Caenorhabditis elegans: one gene and its partner. The protein of the gene in region 1 interacts with the protein of each later gene in a pairwise test. Each region holds a gene or a part of one and is shown on either strand. Other genes may lie near its edges.

Region 1 (4,351 bases):
GCAGATTTTACTCCGGGCGAGAAGAGGGCAGAGATGAGGCTGGCGAGTAGGATCAATCAATCTTGTACGAGAACTCGTTCCTTTCTCTTCCAACCTCGGCAATTCGGCGACACTTTCAAACCAACTTTGCCCACTTCTGTAAATGACAGCTGAAAAGTGGCCAAAGTTGGTTTAAAATTGGCACCGAATTGCAGATGTACCATTCCTTTCTCGTGACTCATATCACTTAAAATATCAAAATGATTGCCTTGAAATCTAAGTGCATTCCTCTTTGCCTCCAATTGTAATATTCTTTCTATGTCTCCGTCCCACTTATTCTGTATTTGAACCAGTTCTTGTGAGCTGTTTCTCATATTCAATACATCGGTCACTGCCTTAAAGAAGGAGTATAGTCAATGGGGAAATTGTTTTAAAATGTAGTACTCGTATTCAAACGTCCAATTATTGCAAAATAAAAACGGGAAAATCCGTTAACAGTCAGCATTTTAAGTCCGGAAAATCGTTGAAAAAGCTTTAAAAATTTACCTAGACAATTCTAGGCCACGAGGAGTAATCGAATTTGTATTACATATGCATTGCTTTTTTAATAAAACACACTTTACAAATACTATATTTTAAAACAAGTTCCCCATTGACGATACTCCTTCTTTAACACAACACCTTTATGGTGCATCGATGGGAAACAAATGTGCAGACCTAGCCAATATGAAGGGATTTACCGTTTTCTCTGGAACTTTCTCAATCTCAACACTTTCAAGTTGAAAGCTTCAACAAAAAAAAAACAACAAACATTCTCATGAATATTTTATTCCGTTCAATTCAAATAGGTGTATTTCTTTGTTCTGGATATCTTAACCGACATGATTCTAGAAGAGAATGCTCTGTGCAATCATCGCAGTCACTTGATAAGGATCGCAGTTTGATGACGGACGACGATCCTCCAGATATCCTTTTCTCTCCGCAGCCACCTGTCTCGGAATACGGATTGAGCATCCACGATTGGCGACTCCCCATGAGAATTTGTCAGCCGAACTTGTCTCATGACGTCCTGTCAAACGACGAAGATTGTCTTCTCCACCATGTGGATCGTACACCTTCATCGCCTCCAAATGTGTCCGCTTGAGTCCTGTCATGGCGGCTTCAATCGCAGCAATTCCACCTGGAGCACGCATTTCGGCAGTCGAGAAGTTGGTGTGGCATCCGGCTCCGTTCCAGTCTCCCATGGTGACCTTTGGTTTGGGATCAAGGGATACGCAGACACCGAATTGTTCAGCAACTCTGAAATCATTTTTATTTTACAACTATCGGGGTTGATTTATGTACCTGTGCAGAATGTATCTCGACATCCACAACTGATCTCCCATATCGATTCCTTCGCAGGTTCCAATTTGGAATTCCCATTGTCCTGGAGTCACTTCGGCATTTGTTCCAAAAATGTTGAGTCCGGCGTGAAGACAAGCCCGGTAATGTGTCTCGACGACTTCTCTCCCGAACGCACGATCAGCTCCTACGCTACAGTAGTACTTTCCCTGTGGATCCGGGAATCCGTGTTTCGGCCATCCGAGTGGGTGCTCATCTCTGTCGACGATCAGATATTCCTGCTCCATTCCGAACCACGGGCGGGTGTCACGGATCTCATGCATGATCTCGGCGCAGGCTTGACGATGGCTGGTTGCTGAAATCGATGTTTTTTGATGTTTCATCACTAGAATATAATTGTGAATTCGCGCTTTTATGGAGAAGCAGACCATCTTCTCGCTGTGAGACTCATCTCATTCGCTTCGGAAACGTGGAAAGACTAGCACGCATTGCACGTAAGCACAATAAAGTAGGCAACTTGAAGGCGCGCAGGCAGGCATCTAAATGCCTTATTTTCCTATTCTCTTACCTGTTGGCTGCATTTGATGATCCAACGTGTCACACATCACCAACTTATTCCCACCGCCCAAAAATGGATCCGGGTAAGCGGCGACTGGACGCAAGTAACGATCCGAGTCACGTCCCTTTGCCTGTCCCGTCGAGCTTCCATCATAATTCCAGATTGGATAATCCTCGATTCTCTTCGGAAGTTTATCGAATGTTCGTGTCTTTGAGCGCAGATTCTCCCCAGTTCCATCGATCCACACATAGGTCGCCTGGATCTTTGTGGGATGCGGGCGAAGTCCCAGGAATTGATCGATGACGGCTGTTCCAAGAGGCATGCGAGTCTCGAAGTTCAAATGAGTCATTTTTAGCTGAAAGTTACTCTTTTAAATATGAAAATCTGTGGAAATACTTACGGTTATTACAATTTGCAATCGAGGAGTGTTCTTCGAGTAGAGACAAGCTCGTAATGAATTTTTCTTCGGGCATCCACGTTAAAAAGTAACAAAATAATATTTAAAATATTGAGGAAATCTGTAGTACACCACGTTTCAACCTTTTTTATGTATTTAAAAATTTTAATTTTTAAGGGAATATTTTTAAAAAAATTATTGAATATATCGTGAAAACTTTTAAGTTTTTTTAAAATCTAATCTAATTTTTCGATTTACAATCTAAAAAAAGTATCCAAAAAAAAGTGAGTGATTCTTTTCGAATCACATTTATTTCACAATTATTAAATTTCAAGGTAAGGTTATTTCTATTCAGGTTCAAAAAATCTTTAAACGTTGTGAGAAGTTGGCAATACCGGCGTCAAAATGTAGGCATAAGAAGGCACATAGGCATGTAGGCAAGTAGGCATGCACGTAGGCATGTGGAAAGAAAGTTTGGAAAAAAACACTTTTTTGGACGTTTCGGAACCGTTCGTTTTACCCAAAAATATACAACTTATCAGAAAACCGTCAGTGGGATATTTGACAATTTTAACTGACATACTTACAAAACTTAGAGCTGAGCATGAAATTTTGGCAGCGCCCAAGTACTTGTAGTTTTAAACCTAGTCACATACTTTTTGTTTTCAGATGATCAAGTCGATGAGATCGAATCTAAATAAGAAGAAGAAGCCTTCGGAAAATTTGCGTATGAACGAAGTGAACGGAAGCAGCCAAGCAAACCAACATCAGCTATAAAGAAGTCAGGAAATAGTAGTGAAGCAAGAAAAGATAAAGGAAAGAAGACAGGAAAAGGATGTCGAGAACAAGGAAGTGATGTTTTGAGTAAGAAGGATGAAAAGAAGAATGGATCAAAGGAGCAATGGTCGTGCGATGGAACAGCCAAGAAGATGGTCGCCAATGGATTCTTCAGTACGGTTTTTCGAGATATTTCTTGGTTGTTGTAGAATCTATTAGTTTATTTTTGTTTTTCTTGTCAGTGCACAATTTTTTTTTTAATTTCCGGGTAAACATATAATTTTTTTCAGACAATTCAAATATCAACGGAGCATTCAAAGACGCGCCAACATCGAAGCCGAATATTGAATCGTGTCCTTGTTTCAAGAACAACATGCAGAAAGTTCGAGCTCCCGACTGTCCAGTTGAAGATCACAAGCTTATCAAATTGACCAATGGACCAGACAATTTTATTTGTGCTGCAAAAATCGTCGTTCCGGATTTCAATAGGACTGTTATATTGACTCAAGTGCCGGATCTATCAAATACTCAAAATGTTGAGGATTTTTGGAGGATGGTATTTCAGGAGAATATAATATCTGTTATTGTTGCTGTAATGCCACTTGAAGTCACTCTTCAACAAATATTCCCACTTCTGGTAGGAACTTATTCAAATCATGGCAAAATGTTCATAAATAAGAAGGTAGAATCAGCCGTTGGAGTTACTGAATATAGCTTGGAAATTCTGCCGGATGGATGCTCAAATTCATTGTTCACTACAGTATATCATTTGCAAAATTGGAAGCAGAAGAAAGGATTGGATAATGTTGGAGGTTTAGTGGCAACTATTGAGAAAGTGATGAAGGTTAATGAGGTAATATTTTTAGTTGATCTATTCAGTCAATCATTTAATTTCAGAATATGCTGCTTATGAGCATGAATGGTACCGGTCGAGCCGGAACAATGCTGACGCTCTTCACTGCAATGATCCAAGTTCAGAAAGGAAAATAAGTAAATACGAAGGAGACATTGTCGTGTTTGAGAGCTGAAAGATGTGGAATCGTGGAGAATGCGGATCAATTTTGTACTGTGCACAAGGCAATGGCATTGTGGTTCAAGACCAAGTCGGCAAATGAAGAGATCCAGAAGAAAGTTAATGAATTTGCTCCAGGTGTTCAATAGATCTATTAGAAGTTGAATAAATATTTACATTTCCAAATGAAATCTGAGTTTTCAAAAAAGTTTTACATTATATAATACTAAACTTTAAAAAATAGTTAGTTATTACGAAGCATGATATTTCCTCGCCACGAACGAAC
Region 2 (4,753 bases), 590 kb from region 1:
TACAAATTTTCTGCAAAATTTATGGACTTTGAATTTTTGGGTTCATTCTGTGTAGCCACGGTTTTTCGCGATGTGCGTAGAAGATCCGATCCTTGCCGCTAGGAACAAGAGTGGAGCTAGCCAGAATCAGATGCGGTCACTCAACCATGGTCCCAAGCTATTTTGCGAGAGTCAACAACGACACGGTGCCAGCCTGCAAGAAGTGTGGCGATGTCACAGGGAATGTGGAACACATGCTGAGATGTTCTATCCAACCCCCGCTCACTCCGTCTAAACTGTGGACGGATCCGAAAAAGGTGGCAGAGGCACTGGGCCTCCCCACCAGAATTTTCGATCCAGGCGGATCTCAATGATCCAAGGACCTCCACGGTTCCACCGTGGTGCTTTTGCACCACTACTACTACTACTATGTGCGTAGAACGCCTCAATCAGCACAATATACCCAAAACACAATTGATGGCCGGGCACGATGTGCCTAAAGTTGTCGGTGGCGGGCCGTTTACAATGCCATTGCTGCGAGATTCCTGATTGACAAGTTGCCAATTATCTGTGAACAAAAAGGAGAGATATTCGGAGTCAATTTTCCATTGTTACCATTAAGAAATGTCCAAAGAACTTTGAAGATCCGATTTTATCTTGAAAAATTGAACATTTCTTGAAAAAGTACCTATTTTTAATGAAAAACAGTACGATTTTTGAAAACACTACTAATGTTCTTCTGACATCCGCTTTCTTCTCAACTTTTTGAGAGTGGGTCTCGGATAAAGTGGCTGAAAAGAAATACAAAAATTCTTCATTTCATATCGACAGATTTTGAGATTCATTTCACATTGGGAAACACCTAATTGAGCTCCGGCATTGCGTATTGCGATTCAATTGATTTGGTGACTGGACGGAAAGCACTCAATCCTTTGTACTTGCTCTCGGAGTGGCGATCATACGTGCTTGTGATCGGAAGGCAGCCAAAAGCTGGACCAAGCTGAAAAAAACGAGTTTAAAACTTTATTTTTTGAACTGAAAAAATTTACCGTAGCGGTAAGGCAGGAGGATTCAGAGGCAATTGTAGAAGTAACATCCGATGCAGTGTATGAAATCACTGTAATTGATAACTTTTTGTATTCTGCATAGTTATAAAAACATACAGCTTTCCAGTCCGGTCTTTTTTGGGCTATTCACTTTATTCGGGTCCTCATTTTCCATCAACACGTATTGAGACTTTTCGTGTGCTCCATTAATTTTGAAAACGTTCTCAGTAGCTTCAATCGATGTCATTTTAGGAAGCTGGAAGTTGCTCATTTTTTGAACGTCATCGTTAAAATTCTGTGGCGGCGGAGAGAAACCCGGGACGTAGTACTCAAAGTTCATTGAATCCACCGGTGCGATGGCTTCCACTTCTTTCTTATCTCCCTCCAAATTAGCATCAGACTTTTCGTAAGCATAGAAAGATTTGTCTGCTTGTTCGGCTGCAATGATCTTCTCCTTCTGAGCTGCACGAAGCTGAGCACGGTAGATTGGTGGAATGTCGTCAGACTCCAAACCACAGTAATCCGAAACAAGTGGCTCTTTGATGTTAACATCAATCACAGATGCGAGCTCTTGGAGATTTTCAAGCTAAAAATTAGGACTTTTTGGCAATCCATTGAATTACCTAGCCTACCGGTGGAAGATCGTTACTCTCAGTCATCCCAAACATTTGAGTAGCTTCAGGCTCCAAATAAAAACTTTCAACGTATCCCATTGCTTCGAACTGAAAAGAGAATGAATCATCGATTCTCTAAATTAGAACTCACTTGAACAGAAATTGTCCGCTGTAACGAAATGGCAAAGTAAAATCGGGAATAAATTTAAAACAGTGAGAAACGCTCATTTATACTCGAATGGGCATTTTCACGTAGTTACGTGGCAATACCGTGTAACACGAAAAATTAATAATAATAATTAGCAGAAATTAATATTTGGAAAATGAGACTTCTATTTAGATCCAGCCGTTTGTGAATTCGTTCCGTCTGTGCACGTTTTTCAGCTGGTCTGATTGAATTATCAGGATGTTTTCTTCTGTACTGTGGGTTTTAGCACCTTCTAAACATTTGTAAATTTGGAAATTGATTTTAGAATTGATAAGTTTAAAATAATTTTGACATTTTCAAATTTTTTTCCGAAATTGATGCAGTAATAAAAGCACATTGCACGCCCATGCAAAAGAACCTTCCATTTTTAGAACTTTCGAACCTTTTTCCAGGAGAAGCCCACTCAGAGCATTAGGGACGCTTTGCAAACTTTCCGCTAGTTGTCAAACTCGAATGATAAAGACAAATCAGAGAGGAAACTGAGAAACAAAGACAAAAAGCGAGGGAAACCGCGCAATTGATAAGCACAGGAGCGCGGCGGTACTGCAGCAGCTTTTCGTGACCTCTTCAGAGATGACTGTGTTCGTGTCGCTTATCACTCTCCGGCTTTTGGGTATGGACAGACGGTAAAGACAGAAAAGAAGAGAAGCCATGTGTTATGTGCCTTGACTAGACTCCCGCTAGAAAAAACTGGTGGAGATACTTTTAGATCAAACGCAAATAAAAGTGGCCGGCAAATGTCTATTAATATAATAATATTTGTTATGGAGAACTCAAACATATAATCAAGTTTCTGATAAGAAGATCGCGAACAAATGAAAAAAAAAACGTTGAGGATCAGAGTGCAAAAAGTGGCAAAGTGAAATATAGATAATTGGGTCCAAAGTTACAGGAAGTTGTAAAATGTTTCAAATGGGTTGTTTATTAGTCTGTTCAACATGTGACCGGGAAGTAGATTTTAAACAAAAGTTGAACGACGAGTCTCCAAATCTGGACGTTCAGCGGTTTAAAAATATGTTTAGGATTAGGCTTAGCTTAAGCTTGGGCTTAGTCTTAGTCTTAGGCTTACTCGCAAAAATAAGTCGCACACTGCCGTGGAAACTTTTATAAATGATATTTAAAAAAATCAAAAACCTAGATGATCAAATCATTGAGATCAAATCACAAACATTTATAAATATCTTAATCTCTGCTCATTCGCATAATAAATTGTATAAAACGGTTGAGGAAATCAGCATTTGACATTTTCAGATTGTAATACTCATTTTCAGTATGACAAAACATTGAAAAACCAGGTGGATTTTGTTTGAAGTATGGCATTTCAGTCACTCATGACTCAAAGTGACGAGCTCCTGCAAAAGTTGAACTTTGTGGAGCACATCTGGAAGATTCTGGAATAAATAGTTTCGCAATGTTTCACAAAAGTGTCCCTTCGGATTTCATCATAATCATAGTCTATTCAAGAGAATTTACCAAATCCTTGCTCGCCCGGTAGGGGTCATTTAGTGTGGTGGGATCTCCCTCCTTTGCGAGCCAGTATTTGAGTGTGTACTTTTTCAAGTGGACGACAAGTGACGGAGAGTGCGTTGGTCAGTTTGCCACGACCTTTGTACAAGCTTCGCAAAACAATCTCGAAAAGACAGACAGTATGTATGAGAGAGATTCTTCTTGTTTCTATCTCTCTCTCTCCCTCTTCCTAGGTTCTCACAAATAGAAATGCGCTTGAAGCTGGCTCTGCTGGAGACAGTGAAGCACACTGATTTGCATGCCAAACATATGATAAGAAAATAAGAGAGAGGGGCGAGAGCCGAATTCGGTCAGGTCAAGAACAAAGAGCGCGCGCAAATTTTATAGCATAAGTGGGAGAAGACTCAAACAATATCTATCACATTGTTCTTATAGTGAAGTGTCCGAAATTGGAAAACTACAAAAAACATGTATTGTCGATAAATTTACCTCAACACTTTCTATTCTATATTTTACTAAAATCTTTTGCAAAAAAAAACCTTTACAATGTTAGAGAAAAAATCTGTAGATATATTTCTCATATCTTAATAAATCTGACCCCCACCCTCCATTCCTTTCCCTATGATAAGTTTGATGTTTGACTACTGATTTGCACTTTATCGTGACCAACCGGCACTGTATCAGAAAAACAGCAAAAAAGTGAGCGCGTTCGCTTTGTCTACGAGCATCCTAAAAACAATGATCATTTGAGATTGAACACATTTCGATGTGACTGTGGAGTCGCTCAGTTTCTAGTAAAGCTTCCATGAAGAGACAGGCGCGGTTTCAGGGTCTGGAACCTGTCTGAACTATTCTCTGGCATGACATGAAATTCCTGGTGTTTGCACCACGTGCAATAGTTGGTTCTTTCAAGGCAACCTACACTTTTCGGGTCCCAAGCAAAGCAGGAGGCTCGCGGTTTCAGGCAGGCGCGGCTATTGTTTTGGTGCCTGCGTTAACATAGTTTCTAGCAACGCACTTTGAAGCTGGAACATAAGTTTAATATCTTGGTCGGCTTTTACTTTGAATAAAAGTTGTCAACCGATAAAATCTCTGTTGTCTATAAGTCTCTATAAGTTTCTAATCATAAAGTTTCAAGGTTTGTTCAGAAAAATCGGAAATTGATATTATGTAGATATTATCTTTTGATTTCAAAGTAACATGTTTTAGGGAAATACCACTTTGTAAACATAACATGAACATACTTATCACTCGACCGCCTGGCCGAGCCTGGTATCCGCCGCGGTTTTTTTTGTCAAATTCGGGGTCCCGTCTTGTCGTGAGATGAAGGAGACACAACCCGCCGCCGCCCTTGTGATCTTTTTCCTACGAACACAAACCCAAATTCCTCAACACTATTTCTCTCCCACCACCAGCAGCACCAAAATCTGATAAAAAAT

The links.
Region 2: the proteins of gln-2 (region 1) and K04H4.5 interact in a two-hybrid assay, tested with the Caenorhabditis elegans proteins (one large-scale study listed by BioGRID).

Annotation. Positions count from the first base shown.
Region 1 is NC_003281.10:9,942,450-9,946,800, forward strand, and holds gln-2 (putative glutamine synthetase), read right to left. Parts: upstream 2,375-4,351; 5' UTR 2,280-2,374; intron 2,235-2,279; 5' UTR 2,229-2,234; coding exon 1,889-2,228; intron 1,676-1,888; coding exon 1,324-1,675; intron 1,279-1,323; coding exon 867-1,278; 3' UTR 794-866; downstream 1-793.
Region 2 is NC_003281.10:9,357,356-9,362,108, reverse strand, and holds K04H4.5 (uncharacterized protein), read right to left. Parts: upstream 2,750-4,753; 5' UTR 1,791-2,749; intron 1,748-1,790; 5' UTR 1,739-1,747; coding exon 1,658-1,738; intron 1,612-1,657; coding exon 1,143-1,611; intron 1,097-1,142; coding exon 1,029-1,096; intron 980-1,028; coding exon 842-979; 3' UTR 776-841; downstream 1-775.